Linked DNA regions of Diceros bicornis minor. The protein of the gene in region 2 interacts with the protein of the main gene of each other region in a pairwise test. Links are inferred from orthologs where the notes say so. Each region holds a gene or a part of one and is shown on either strand. Other genes may lie near its edges.

Region 1 (7,976 bases), on a different chromosome or scaffold from region 2:
CAAAACAGATATTCAATAAATATCTGAACGAATGAACTCTCCCCCAATCCACTTCTTCTACAGTCTTGAACTCTGTTAGGAGTGTCTTCATTACGCTAGTCTTTCAAGCTTGAAATCCTTAGTGCACAGCCTAGAAGAGATTGCTTAGTAAAGAGTTTTCCGTTCATTCTTCCTTCTTCATACATCTAAGTTGTCATCATTTCCAGTTAATTCTTACCTAAGACATGCCTCATCTTTTGTAACCACACTTTCATAACTCTATTTCAAACTTAGATCTTTTTGCCACATACTCCTTCCCTCTCCAGTCTATTTTGTACCCCAACGTTAGATTACACTTTTTGTTTTATTATCTCACTGTTTCATACTCTTTATACCAAGGGTTCCTAGCCTTGGGTCTATTGACAAGTTGGGTCAGATAATTCTCCTTTGTATAAGGCTGTCCTGGGCCAGCCCCGTTGCTTAGCGGTTAAGTGCGCGCGCTCCGCTGCTGGCGGCCCGGGTTCGGATCCCAGGCGCACACCGACGCACTGCTTCTCCAGCCATGCTGAGGCCGCGTCCCACATACAGCAACTAGAAGGTTGTGCAACTATCTACTGGGGCTTTGGGGGAAAAATAAATAAATAATTATTTCAAAAAAAAAAAAAGGCTGTCCTATGCATTGTAAGATGTTTAGCAGCATCCCTGCCCTTTAGCAACTGTATGCCCCCATTATGACAACCAAAAATGTCCCAAGATACTGCCAAATGCCCTCTGGGGCACAAAATTGCCACTGGCTGAGAACCACTGCCTTTTATCAATGTTAAAACAAAACAAAAAGGTCCTACATAATTTGGTTCTCTTTCATATCTTGGGTTTAATAAAGCTCATTTAGACTCAAAGAGAAAAGGTTAGGAGTCTCTGTCCTACAGAATAAAATCTAAACTCCAGGGGCTGATATTCAAGGTCCTGGACTGTCTGTTTTCAACTCTTCTCACAACTCACCTTTCCAACCTAACTAGGCTTTCTACCACTCAAACAAACATGGATCCTCCAACCTGCCCCTCCCTCCTAACTTTCTACTCTGCTCCCATATCTCATTCCTCTGAGATGGTGATTAACTTCTCCACCTTTTATTCCTTTAATGGAGACAGGGCAGTGGATATATCTGCAAAACCTTATTTCTTAATTATTTGTATTGAGCAACAGAAGTGATGCCCCTTTCAAGAGGCTGCTGTCATCTCTCTAACATTTTCTCTCTGTCCTAGAAGACTTCTGTTTCTAAATCTTCTGTTTCTAATGTTTCTGAGCAGCATTTTATCAGAGAATTTTGTAGCTTAGTACAGAAATACATGATCCTTCCACAGAAAAGGTATAATTAAGTTAGGACTACATTAACCAGTTTTTCATGACACTCAGGCCCCTTTCTGATGCACCAAAGTGTCAAGACCACACTTTACTGTACTTCACTCTGGCCTAGAAATCCATAATTCATCTTTTCTCAAACAGAAACCACATCTGTTTCCTCACCTGATATCCTGGCTCATCCAACTCTCTCTCTAAATCCTCCAGCACAGTCACCACCTCTTCCCCACTCTCTGGATGCTGTTCCTGCACCCAGGCTTGGAGCTCCTCGGGCAGGATGGTCAAGAATTGTTCCAGCACCAGGAGCTCCAGGATCTGCTCTTTGGTGTGGGTCTCCGGCCTCAGCCACTGACGGCAAAGTTCCCGCAGTCGACTCAAAGCCTCACGGGGTCCAGATGTTTCCTGGTAGCAGAATTGCCTGAAGTACTGTCGGAAGACCTCTCTGCTATGCATGTTGTTCTTTTGCAGGTTCTGATCCTGTCTGGTGGTATCCTTATATTCCTCCTCCCTCTGCTCCTCCTCCTCTATCTTTACTTCCAAAAGTTCATCCTGGTCCTTGCCGGCCTGGAGAGCCCAAGTAGATGCCATCACAGCTTTGCAAAAGCTGTATCAGTGCTTCAAGCAAGATCTCCAGTGGTAAGTTTCTTCCTGGGTGGACTTGAGGAAGAAGCCATCATTGTTAACACAAATTACACCATAGTCAAAAATTGCCAATTCTAAGAATTTAAATACGTGCTTTGAAACCCGCCTCCAGGTTAATTTACTATACTCAGGGAAATACTTTGATAAAAAAGATTTAATAGACTAATTTAAAGAGAAAGATTAGGTAAAAGGTGTTAAGTTGTTTCAGGACTTGAAGAAGAAAGAGTAAGACTTGGTAGGAACATTTCCCTTTAGTTCTAGAAAAAGGACAATTAAATGGAATAAAACCAACATTCAGAGCAAATAAACAATGATAATAAAAAGTTGAGACATCCTTGATTAGCTGTTTTTATTTTTTAAATGCCCAGATGTCTGGTGAAAACCATGATGTCATGAAACAGCAAAGTCACATGAATTTACTCCCTCGGGAACTGAATCTCTCCGCTCCTCATTCTTCATTTATAAAGCGAAAAGGCTGGAGATGGTGATCTTTAAGGCCCTCCTCTACCCTCACATTCTATGATTCTAAATCTGAAGTAAGGCAAGCCCAGGAAAGGGGCCCTAGGCCGCCGGTCGGCGTCTGAGACCCAGGAAGGTCCAGAAATGTCGGGAGGCGCCGAACTGAGAAGGGTACACGGCCCGAGGCGCAGCCGGACTCCGCAGAGACCGAGGGCGGGCCCCTCAGCCCCGGGTTTCCGACCCACCCTCCGAGGGAGGAGGGATGGCCTCTGTGTTCGGGAGCTTGTCGCGGACCCGCCCGGGCCGGCGAGAACCGGAGGGCGCCCCGCTCCAGCCTGGGCCGGCCGGAGGGGCCCAGGCGCAAGAACGCCGTGATATCCCGCCCCCCACGCCCCGCCGCGGCCGAGCACAGGCTCGCTCACCAGCAGCCCCGGAGCCAGCAGAGGAGTCCCTCCTCCCGGGACTACGGGCCGAGGCCTCGAACCCCTTCGGAAGCCAGAACCCAAGAAGAGCGACCCACAAAGGCCGCAACGGCGCCCAAGCACGAAGGGCCGGCTAGCCGGGTCGGCGCGTAGTGCACTTCCGCCGCTGCTCTAAGAAGGAGGAGGGAGGGGCTCTCCACTCGGTCGTCGTCCCCCCACCCCCGCCCCGCCCTCGCGAGAGGACGGCTGAGGATTCTAAGGCCTGCGGTTACACGGAAGTGTCTTCTGTTTCTCCTCCTGTGTGCCTGGTTGTTATCCCCGCTTCCCCTGACCCGAAGGGTGGTCGAGACTTGCAAGTCGATCTGAAATAGGCAAATCCCATGCTGCTTCACTCTCATTTTTATTTGGGTTTCTGCACCTTTGAGGTTCAAGGTGCCTCAAAGGGATGTTCTCCCCAAGTCCTTCCCGACTCAGCAAGGCTTCACGATGATGAAGGGACCAAGATTTTCTACACACGCTAATCAAGGGGCAACCTGGTGGTTTCTGCCTGCTGTTTCACCTTCAATGATTCTCCTCATGTTCTCTTTTATGCGTTGATATGATTATATATCCGAAAACCCACGGAGTTCAATGGGAAAACTACATAAAAAAGATCATTTAGTAAAGCAGCAAGATATAAAATTAACATACTAAAATCAATTATCTTCATATATGCAAATGACCAGTGATAAACAGTTACAAGATATAATGGAAGACTGTATTTATAATAGCAACAACCAAAATTACTAGGAACAAACTTAATCAGAAATGTGCAAAACCTATATGGGGAAAACTTTTTTAAAAAACTCTGGAAGTGCCAAGTGTAAACTTAAACAAATAGAAAGCCATATGCTGTTCTTGGCTAAAAAGACTCAATAAAGAGGTCAATCTATAATAAAAGTATCAACACATTCTGTTGTAGAATTAGACAAATTAATTTATAAAGTTTGGGAAAATAAGAATAGCCGTGAAACCCCTTGAAAAAGAACAAAGGGGAGGGACAACCTTATCAGATGTTAGAACATATTATAAAGCCTCTACAGTTTAGAGCGGGATATGGTGCATGAACAGACAGAGAGAATAGACCCAAAATAAAGCCAGGTACATATGGATATTTAGTATATGGTGATGATGGGATCTCACATCAAATGGGGAAATGAAGGACATACAAATAAGTTGTATTGGGACAACTAATAGACATTTAGTCAAAGGTAAAATTAGATTAATATCTCCCACCACACATCACAACCGGGGTAGATTCCAAATGTGGAATTTATTTTACGTTTTTACACAAATGTAAAAAATATGCTCAGACATGTATTAGAAGAAACATAATAATTCTAACACCTAGAAACAGGGTAATCTTATCTAACCATGATTCAAAATTCAAAAGCAACAAAAAATATTGATAAATCTAACTAAATAAAAATAAATGTAATGCTTGTCAAAAAACATCATAAAGAAGTCAAAGACAAATGACAGGAAAAATGTTTGCAATGTATCACAAACGGCTAATATCCCTAATATATAATGAGCTACTAAAATATTTCCTAAAAAGAGAATAACCCAATGGAGAAAATGGACAAAAGAAATGAACAGTTGGCAGAATAAGAAATTGTAGCAGCCTTCAAACATCTATAAATATGCTCAAATTCACTCAAAATATAGAAATACAAATTAAAAACTACACTGAGGTGCCATTAGTCATTTTATTGTATTGGCAGAAAAATCCAGAAGTTTGACAATATACTCTATTCATGAGAAAAGATGCACTCTCATACATTCCTGATGGGAATACAAAATGGTACAACCTCTATTTGGAAAAGTAATAATATATAGCAAAATTACATATGTAAGTTCACCCTTTTTCCCTGCAATATCACTGCTAGAAATCCACCCCAAAGATATATTGACAAAAATAGGAACTGACATATATGCACAACGTTATTCATTGAGGCATTCAAGCCAAAGACCAGAAACAAACCAAATGTCCATCAATAGTAGACTGACTGAATAAACTATGACATTTCTACCTAGTAGAATACTAGGTAGCTATAAAAAGAAATGAGAAATATCTTGATGTACCGCTATGGAGTGATTGACAGGTGTTTATAGTATACTACCTGTGGTAGGCAGAACAATGATACCCCCAAAATGTATACTCCTAATCCCCAAAACCTGTGAGTATATTTTGTTACATAGCAAGGGGGAATTAAGGTTGCAGATAGAATAAATGTTGCTAATCAACTGACCTTAAGATAGGTTTTCATAATTCAGGACCAACTTTTTGTTTGTTTCAATAAAACTTGATTTATGGACATTGAAATTTGAATTCAATGTAATTTTCTCATATCACAAAATATTATGCTTCTTTTGATTTTTTAAAATTAAATTTTTATTTTAATATAATTGTAGATTCACATGCGTTGTAAGAAATAATGCAGAGAGATCCTATTTACTCCTTACCAACTTTCCACGGTTAGTAACATTTTGCAGAACTATAGTACAATGTTACAACCAGAATATTTACATGGATAGAGTCAAGATACAGAACATTTCCATCACTACCAGAATCCCTTTTATCAACACAGCCACTTCCCTCTCACCCCCATCTTCTGATTAACTCCTGGCAACCAGGACTCTGTTCTCTACTTTTATAATTTTGCCATGTCAAGAATGTTATATAAATGGAATCATACAATGTGTAACCTTTTCAGATTGACTTTTTCCATTCAGCATAATTCTCTGGAGAATCATTCCGATTGTTCCATGTATCAATGATTCATTCCTTTTCATTGCTGAATTGTGTTCTCACTGGGTTGTTTCCAGTTTTTGGCTATTACAAACAAAGCTGCTCTCAACATTCCTGTACAGGTTTTTGTGTGTCTTCATTTCTCTGGGATAAATGCCTAAAAGTGCAATTGCTGGGGTCATGTAGTAGTTGCATGCTTAGCTTTTAAATAAACTACCAACCACTTACTATATGGCTGTGTTATTTTACATTCCCATCAGCAATGTATTAGTGTCTCCTATTTCTCTACATCCTCACAGCATTTGGTGGTGTCACTCTTTCTTATTTTAGCCTTTCCAATAGTTGTGCTATTTTACTGTGGTTTTAATTTGCATTTCCCTAATGGCAAATGATTTTAAACATCATTTTATATTTTATATGTTCATTTGCCATCAATATATCTTTGGTAAATGTCTCTTCATGTCCTTTGCCCAAGTTCTAACTGGATTGTTTGCTTTTTTACTACTGAGGTTTGAAAACTCCTTATGTATTCTAGATACTAGTCCTTTGATATATGGTTTGCCAATATCTTCTCCTGTTCCGTAGCTTGTCTCTTCATCCTCTTAACAGGGTATTTCACTGAGCAAAACTTTTTAATTTTGATGAAGTCCAATTTACCAAATTTTCCCTTTATGGATTGTGCTTCTAGTGTCAAGTCTAAGAACCCCTCGTTCTTAAACCCTAATATTTAATCCTATGTTTGTTCTAAAACCTTTATAGTTTTGTTTTACATCTTAGTCTGTGATCCATTTTGAGTTAATTTTTGTATAAGATGTGGCACTTGGATCAAGGTTTTTGTTTTTGTGTTTTTTTAGTCTATGGATTTCCACTTGCTCCAGCACTATTTGTTGAAAAACATACCTATCCTCCATTGAACGCTTTTGTACCTTTGACAAAAATCAGTTGGGCATATTTGTGTGGATCTAGTTCTCAGTTCTCCAGTCTGCTCCGTTGATCTATGTGTCTATCCTCCACCAATACCACATCCCTTCATTACTATACTAGTTATATGAAGTCTTAAATCAAGTAGACTGATTCCATACACTTTATTTTTGTTTTTCAAATCATTTTAGCTATTTTGGTTGCTTTGCCTTTCTGTGTAAATTTTAGAATAATTTTGTTTGTATTTACAAAAAGTCTTGCTGAGATTTTGCTAGGAATTGCAATAAACTTGTATGTTAATTTGGGGGAAATTGTCATCTTTATTGTATTGAGTCTTCCAATCCATGAACACGGTCTCTCCACTTATTTAGACCCTCTTTGTTTTCTTTCTTCAGCATTTGGATTTACACTTAAGTATTTTCTTTTTTTTTTGAGTCACTGTAAATAGTATTGTATTACTAATTTTAGTGTCCATGTGTTCATTGCTAGTATATAGAAATACAATTGAGTTTTGTATGTTGATCTTGTATTCTGCAAACTTGCTGAACTCACTTATTGGTTTAGGAGTTTTTTATAGATTCCTTGGGATTCTCTAAGTATATAATCATGTCATCTGCAAATAGGGATTGTTTTTTTTTTTTGTTCTGTATGACTTTAATTTCCTTTTCTTGCCTTATTGCACTAAAACTTCCTGCTCTACTTTGAATGAGAGTGGTGATATTGGAAATTCTTGCAATGTTCCTTGTTTTAGGAGGAATGTATTCAATATTTCACCAGTAAGTATAATGTTTGCTGTAGGGTTTTTTTGCAGATACTCTTTAACAATTTGAGGGAAGTTCCCCTTTATTCCTAATTGCTTTTTTTAAAAATCATAAATAGGCATTGGATATTGTCAAATGCTGTTTCTGCATCAATTGATATGATTTTTTCTTCTTTAGCAATTTCACGTGGCAGATTACATTAACTGATTTTCAAATGTTGAACCGTCTTTGCATACTTGGAATAAGTCTCACTTTGTCATGATATATAAATTATTTTTATGTATTATTGGATTCAATTTGGTAATATTTTGTGGAGGATTTTTACATCTATGTTCAAGAGAAATACTGGTCTATAATTTTCCTTTATGCAATGTCTTTATCTGGTTTTGTTATTAGGGTAATTTTGGCCTCATAGAATAAGTTATCCAGTGTTTATACTACTTATATTTTCTGGAATAGATTGTGGAGTATTGGTATCATTTCTTCCTTAAATGTTTGGTAGAATTCACCAGTGAAACCATCTGCACCTGATGCAGAGGTTTTCGGAAGGTTACTAAAGATTGATTCAATTTCTTTAATATGTAGGCCTATTCAGATAATCTACTTCTCCTCGTGTGAGTTTTGGGAGTTTGTGTCTTT
Region 2 (7,663 bases):
TTGCACATAGACACACACTGCACATACAACCAACTCAAAAACTCCACAGCGTCCTCTGATCCTCAGGCCTGAGGCCAGGAGCCTGGCCGGTGTGTGTGTGTGCGCGCGCGTGTCTGAGAGAGAGTGAGAGAGAGAAAGAGAGAGAGAGAGAGAGAGTTCACCTGCATTCCAGTGCTCAACAGGAATTATTTTTGGAATTATCTGCTGTTTGTTTTGGATGATCTTATTTCTGCAAGTGTAGATTTAGAACTGACTTCAAGTGACTCACAGTGGGTCAGGATCTCCTCCAGCGCCTAGCACATCCTAAGCACTCAATAGGAGGTGGTTAGCTGAATGAATTAATGAAAATTAATTAATGAAGACCACAGTCTAGCTAAAGTCAACTGCAAAGGGAGAACAACCGGAGCTGGAAAACTAACACTGACTGAACACCTAAGCGGAGCCAGGCACCGCGCTAGGGACTTGGCTTATTATTTCCATTTTAGAGATGAGGAAACTGAGACTCATTGGGAAATGCTTGCCCAAGGAGCAGAACTAAGAAGCAGCATGTTTGGCTCTGAGGCCTCCTCCTTCCTCTTACACCTTGAAGCTTCGAACATGCAGTTACACTCCACACACCTTTACTGAGCATCTGCTCTGGGCAGGGGCATGTGCTGGGCACTGGGAGGCCAGGGTGGGGGACAATGACAAAGATGAGAGACACAGTCTTCTCCTCCAAGGGTCTTGAAGAGGAGAGATATGCCACTACACAACTTTGTGGTCATAAGGCAGAGAGTGAGGGGTGGGGTGGAGTGGGCACAGCTGTCTGTTTCCAAGCAAAATTGTTTAGGTAAGGCGTTTGGCCCTCACGCCTTAATTCTAGACTGAGCAGGCAGGGGGAGGGAGGAAGAGGAGGGCCCATGGACAGAAACCTAGCTTGGCCAACACAAGTCACCTCCACAAAGGAGGCCACTGGCCTCTGGGAGCGAGGCAAGGACACATCAAAACCCCCCCTGAGAACCCGGCTCCTCAAGGTGCCCACCCTCGGGCTCCTCCACCACCTTCGCGCTCTGGTAGTCCCGGCGGTGGTGGATATACCCCCACAATCTGCAGGCACACACTCCCATGTGTCTGCCCACGCCACAGACCTAAGTGCTCACACACAGCCTGCCCTCTACGTGCCAGGTCCCGCTCGCCTCTCCTGCCTTGGATATCTGTCTGGAGTCGCAGCGGGACACCGAGGGTGGACACGTGGCAAAAGAACGCACCCAGGGGGCTGATTTGTCCTTGCTGGATCAGTGAGGGGGGTCCAGCAGGGACCGCAGCCTCCCCACCCCACCCCTCAGTCTACCCCTTCCCACTCAGCAGCTGTCCCCCTCCCCGCTCGCACACACTTGTTTCTGTCCTTTGTTTTCCTCCCCAGCCAAATCCCCAAGGCTTCTTTGGTCATTAACCTCCCGCTTTAATTAGCTTAGTGGGGAGGAAAGTGGAAGCAGGGCAAATTCAGGGGTGGGTGTCTAGAGGGACAGGAAGGCTCAGACCAACTGGAGACAAAAATGCCTGGCACACAATCAGTCCTGTGCAACTGTTGGCTATTTCTATTAATGTGAAAACCAGTTCCCTGGTCCACAGAGCAGGAACCTTACCCCAACGAGAGCCCCACAGTCCCGAGTACCACAGTTCCCCCAATCCAGGTTCCTGGGGCAGAAGGAAAGGGAACGAGAGTAGGGACAGCCCACTCCCACAGGGCCTTGTCTCTCCAATTCTTCCTCTCCTGCTCTTGCTTGGTGGCGGTAGCGCCCAATCCCACAATAAGGTTTGTAGTTAATCTTATGTTAAATCCATGATCCAGAGGGGACCCTTCCCCAACTCTGGGGCCTTCTGGGGTTCCTCAGTCATGGCTCCCCTTCCCTGATCTTCTGCCTAGCAAAGGAGCAAGAGCCAACCCCCAACCCCTCCTGAGATCCTCCACCTTGGCTCCCACCCTCCCATTGGTGTGCAAATTTCTTCTTTCCAAGAATCAATTTAGGGAACTGGGCTTCGCAGTTCAGCCCTCAAGGCCTCACAGTGCCAGGTCTATGAGGTCATCTCATCTGTTCCCCTGCCTCCAAGCAGGACTTTACCTCACAAACTAGCTCAGATTTTTGGTTTCCAAGGCACTCCAGAAAAGGACAGCTTACCACTGTAGCTCACCCACCCATTCGTATAAAACTCTTCTTGGGAAGTTCTTCTTAAAGTCTGATCTCAAGCCCTCAAGCTGCAGTGCTATCCTTTCTCCTCTTGGGAAAGACCCAGGCATAAAAAGGGTGACAAAAAATAAATGCTGAAGATATGGGCTAAGGGGAGAAGAAAAGATTGCATTACACTCCAACTTCCCCAAACTCCCCCTAAAAGTACCCAACTGTCCATTTCATGCCTTAAAAACTTATTTTTACTTTCACCAATTTCCAGAGTCAAAGAAGCTGAATTAATGGGTTTCCAATGGGGGAGACATGGGCGAGGCAAAGTGGAATGATGATGGAGGTTAAGGAACAGATCACCTCCAAGCTGTATGCATGGCCCAGGCCTGAAGGAAGTCTGGGTCCTCAGTCGATCCCGTGTCTCCTCCCTCCTGTCGCACTCAAAGCTTATGGCTCTCACCCGAAACTGTTAAGTCACATCATGCCTTTAAGACTTCCCCTGCCTCCTCGCTCTCTGCCCCCCACTTCTCTCCTCTCCCTCCACTCCCTCATCCTCCTCACCTCATCACTCCACAGCCCTCCCAGCTCCCCTCCGCTGATCAGAAGGACGTGAACTAACTCACCTCCCAGTCGGTGCCTCTCAGATCTCCGAGACTGGGGGGCGGGAGGGGATGAGGGGGGATGGCTTGCCGCTTGAGGATGAGAGGACCCCGTCTTTTGCCAGGGGGTCCCACCCTCCAGCCTGGCACCGCATTCTGGTCCCCACAGCGCGCAGAGCCGGGTTCTCCCCGCATCGCGGTTGCGGGCTTTGTCTGCTTTGCGGAGAACCTCTCCCCGCGGCCCCGAGCCGGGATCGACTCTGGAAGAGCGGGAGGGGGAGAGCGGAGAGGGAGCGCAGCAGGGAGGGGGAAGAGGGTAAAGACAGAGAAAGCCGCAGTGACCCAGCCGGGACTGCTCCCCCCCCTCTCGCCCCCCCTCATTATCATAAGAAAGAGGGACCCAAGACTGGCCGGGATCCGGAGAGAGCCCGTCTTGGGAGAGGGGCGCGCTCCATTAGCCTTTTTTCAATCCGTTCCTTTTCTGTACACTGATTCCTCTCCCGTGCCCGCGCCTTGGAAAAATTAGGGACCTCGACTTCCATCCCACCCCCAGCTTTGCCTCCGAGCCGTGGTTAAAGACCGAAGGCAGATCCCTATCCTCCTCGGGTCAAGGAATTCGTCCCTGCGCCCCCGAGAGCGGGAAACTACAACTCCCGGCATGCCCCGGGCGCCCCCGGCGCGCCCCCCTCCCGTCAGTTCCATGCTGCTCCATCCAGTTCATTTAAAACAAAAGAGTTTGAGCGCTGGAAGGGGCTGGGCTCTATTGGGGGCCACTGAGCGCCGCTCCTGGACTGGGGCTCGGTACGGGAGCCTAACGGGGGCGTCTGGACGGCGGGGTCTAGAGACTCCCGGGTCCGAGGCGGGAGGGGTGGGGGCAGAGATCCCGCAGCCCCCCGCCCCCCGTCAGCCCCGGAGAGGAGAGGAGATCTGCCTTCTGGGTTTTGCTTCTCTTTCCCCCCACCCCCACCCTGGGGGCTGGGGCGAGGGGAGTCGGGTTACAGGGTGTTTGGGGAGGGGGGCTTAGGGGGAGGGTCTATCTTTCTATCTCGCTTTCTTCCCCCCTCCCCAGTTCTTTGTTCCCCCTCCCCACACACCCCCCTCCTCTCCTCTCCCCTCCCCTCCTCTCTCCTCTTTTCCCTTCCACCACCTCTCTCTCTCTCCCTCTCTCTCTCTCCCCCAGCTTTTGTTTCGCCATGCCTAGTCTAGTGGTATCTGGAATAATGGAAAGAAATGGGGGCTTTGGAGAACTAGGATGTTTCGGGGGAAGCGCTAAGGACCGAGGGCTGCTGGAAGACGAGCGCGCCCTTCAGCTGGCTCTCGATCAACTCTGCCTCCTGGGTTTGGGGGAGCCCCCCGCCCCCACGGCGGGCGAGGACGGGGGAGGTGGGGGGGGCGGCGCCCCCGCGCCGCAGGCCGCCCCCCCGCAGCCGGCCCCGCCGCCGCCGCCGGCGGCGCCCCCGGCCGCCCCGACGGCGGCCCCCGCGGCGCAGACGCCCCAGCCCCCCACCGCCCCCAAAGGGACCAGCGATGCCAAGCTCTGCGCTCTCTACAAAGAGGCCGAGCTGCGCCTAAAGGGCAGCAGCAACACCACCGAGTGTGTACCCGTGCCCACCTCCGAGCACGTGGCCGAGATCGTGGGCAGGCAAGGTAAGCGGGCGCCCGGACCGCGGAGAGGGACTGGAGTGGGGGGCACCCCATCCTAGCGCAGAAAGTTCATTTCCTCTCTCCTTGCCTGCCTCTGGCTCGGTCCCTTCCCCACAAAGGGGGACCCGCCCCCTACCCTGATTTCCAAGTGCCACAAAGTTCCCTGCTACCCCCAGTCGGGACTGTCCTCCAGATCTTTCCTCCCCCAGGGCTCTGCCCTTAGACAAAGAAATATCCTCTCATAGAGAGAGGGAAAAGGGAGGGGGAATCGGTCTCCCAATCCAGGGAGGCTGTCCGGAGGGGGTGTCCACTCCCAGCCGGAAAAACTGGTGGAATGTGCAGAGAGTTACTCAGAAGCCCCTACTCTGATATCTGAGAGTGGGTTGGGGAGGGGGCACCCCTGGGACCTTCAGCCACCTGGAGTTACAGACTTGGAGGGAGACCTGGCCCGGGAAGCCAGATTATCTGTCTCTTTGTTGGGCTAAGTGTAGGAATGGAAGGGGGTGTGGCTCATGGGAGGGTCCCAGCCAGGGGGAGAGGTGGGGAGGGGGCTGCTGGGAGGAGGGAGTCCTGTGGTCACCCACACACCAAAGTTGAACGGTCTGTGAGGTTTTGGAAGGGGTGCCTCCAACGAAGTGCCACGTCCTGGCGTGGACCTCTCCTCCTCCCTCTCAAGCTTTTGTTCTGGGCTGGCCACGGCCAGGGGCCAGAGGCCTGGAGAGGGGGTCTCTGGTCCTGAGAGAGTAGGACAGAGTGGGGGGGGGTCATGCTGGGGGGTAAGAAACCTTTCCCTGGAGGTTTGGTGGAGGGTGTGTGTCTGTCTGGGTGTGTTGTTGGGTGAGGGGGTGTAGAATTAATCCAGTGTAGTATGTCTGATACCACACCCTCCTCCGTTCCAGCATCTCTGGGCTAGTGGGGGTGGGAGTGTTGGTGAGGGTCCAGACTGAGCAGAGGGGGTCTTGGGGACCCTTCCCTCTCCTGGTTTCCCAAAGGGGAGTGTGTGGGGGGTGGGATTTGGCAATTGCAAGGGGGCTGGGCTGGGGAGGTGTTGGGTGGGGGAGGAGCAGGGGAGGAGCTGTCCCACCGTGGGGAACAATAGAGGAGCTGCATTCCGGCTGTGAGTGAGGGAGGAGGCCGGCTGCTGGCAGGGGAAGAGGGGAGGCGAGCCAGGGGGCCCCTTACTCCACATCCCACCTCATCTACCCGGAGTGCTGGGGGTTGGGGGGATTTTGCAGGGAGATCCGGAATGGAGGAGGGGAAGATGCCACTCCCCTGCACAGCCCTCATCCCCCTGGGGCACTCCATCTCTTGAGATTTCTGGTTTAAAAAGTTGGATTTCCTCTTGTTGCCAGAAACTAGGGACCCAGAGCCCTGGAATTGGGTGGGGACACTGATATCTTTTCTTGGATGTGGTGGTGATCTTGGGAGGCCCCAGAATTTCATGGAGTCATTCTTTCCTCTTCTGCCTCCGCATCAGATGGGCCTGTCTCTCATAAAAGTAGGGGGATTTCTCCTATTCAGAGAAGATAAACCGCCCCCTCATTCCTTAAGTCTATGGAAGTACTCCCTCTTGTCTAACCTCCCTCCTCCTGCTGCAGTGTCAGTGCTCCTCTATTTGACCTCCAGGAAGGTGAAGCCCAGTGAGTCTTCCCTTCAAAAGATGCTTCTTCAGAGTTTTGAAACCCAGGCTGAGGTCCACCATCAGTTCTGCACCTCCGGGCCTCTAGCTTTTCTCCTTCCTCTTATGCCTGAGCTGTCCTCCTCACCCCAGCCCCAACCCCCAAAGACACCTAGCTCTCACTTAAATTTATGGACCCAAAACTTAGTGCCAGAACCCAGGTGCCTATCAGATGCCATGTGAGCAGAAGTTGTAGGCAAGAGGACTTCACTGTTCCTCAACCCTCCATGCCTCACAAATGGAACAATCATTTACTGACAGTAAAGCAGCAGGGATGTGGGTTTGACAACAGGTAGGACTTCTCAACTGCCAAGAGGTCTGAAGACAAAAAGGGGGGAGCAAATTCTCTTTCCTGAGGTCTCTTGAAGGTGAGGAGAGCTGCCCTCAACCTACTCTATCCTCCCACCTGCAAATCTGGTAGAGTTGGAGAGGAAGCCATCTGGAGTGGAGGAAGGAGAGGGAAAAAATGAGCTCACCTCAGGCCTGTGGTTGGAGGGTTGGGGCAGAGTCAGAAAACTAGGACTACTGGCGTTGGTTTTGGGGGGGGATAGGTAGTGTGGTGGGGGAGTGAGAAGGGGAATGGTGAGTATGTACCTGGAGAGAGGTGTGAACGTGTCTGGTTGTGAATGGGGGCAAAAGTAGTGGGCGTGTATAGGAATGTGCTGTTTGTGTGCTGGGGATGATGGGGATGGAAGAGTGGGAAGTGTGAAAGGTTGAAACGCGGGGAATCCGTGTGTGTTTGTGTATGTGTGTGTGAAAGGGGTGTGTGAAAGTGTGTATTAGGCTTGCACCACAAGTATTGTTTAGGTAAAGGCACACAGTGCCTCACAGCTCTTAGGTCCGTGTGCGCGCGCGCACACACACACACACATGTGGCATGTGTGCTTTGAGAAAGCGTGTGAGTCTCTGAGGCTCTGTGAAGCTCGGGGCAGGGAGAGGGAATGTGGGAAAAGAGGAGAGAGGCTTGTCCAGTCAGCCATTGAGGTCTGCAACCTTTAGTGATGGTATGGCCATCCCAGCCTCCCTCACTCTTCTCTTTCCCCTTCTCTCTCTTTGTTTCTCTTTGTCTCGGCTTTCTTCTTTCTCTTCCTGCCTCTCTCCCCAACCTCCCAGCTTTAACCCACTCCTACTTCAAAGCAGGAGTATAGGTCCAGAATACCTTCCCCCTCAGCCCTGCTCAGCCCCAGCCCATGTCAGCTCTCCTGCCCCCAGGGGGACAGGGTGGCAGGAGTGTCCATAAGGTCTGGTGCTGTCCCTCACAAGTCATTATCTTTAACTTCATACTCCTCCTTTCTCCCTTGAAACTCTGATTCTCAGACCCTTCCCAGTCTCCCACCTCCACTAGTTGCTGCAAACTTGCTATGAATTTGGGACCCACTGAGAGACACTAATGGGCGGAAGGCACGGGGGCGTGGATCACAGAGCAGATGGGGGTCAGGGGTCCCTGAGTAGATTGGAGGACACTTGTAGTGAATGGAGGTCAAGTGAGGAGTGGATTGTGGAGTCACTGAGTGCCTTGGGGTTCTGTGGGAAGATCATGGTCAGTGACAGATTGGCAGGGGTGATTAAGTGATTTGGAAGTT

The links. The genes of interacting proteins can lie anywhere in the genome.
Region 1: the proteins of LMNA (region 2) and ZSCAN12 interact in binary tests that used the Homo sapiens proteins (3 or more experiments, as listed by UniProt). The link is inferred for Diceros bicornis minor from reciprocal best matches to the Homo sapiens genes LMNA and ZSCAN12.

Annotation. Positions count from the first base shown.
Region 1 is NC_080753.1:38,485,200-38,493,175, reverse strand, and holds the start of ZSCAN12 (zinc finger and SCAN domain-containing protein 12), read right to left. Parts: upstream 3,007-7,976; 5' UTR 2,865-3,006; intron 1,999-2,864; 5' UTR 1,930-1,998; coding exon 1,507-1,929; intron 1-1,506. UniProt on the Homo sapiens protein: May be involved in transcriptional regulation.
Region 2 is NC_080743.1:59,724,827-59,732,489, reverse strand, and holds the start of LMNA (lamin), read right to left. Parts: upstream 3,009-7,663; 5' UTR 2,783-3,008; intron 1-2,782. Other genes in the region: RNA-binding protein MEX3A, read left to right, coding at 3,952-4,405.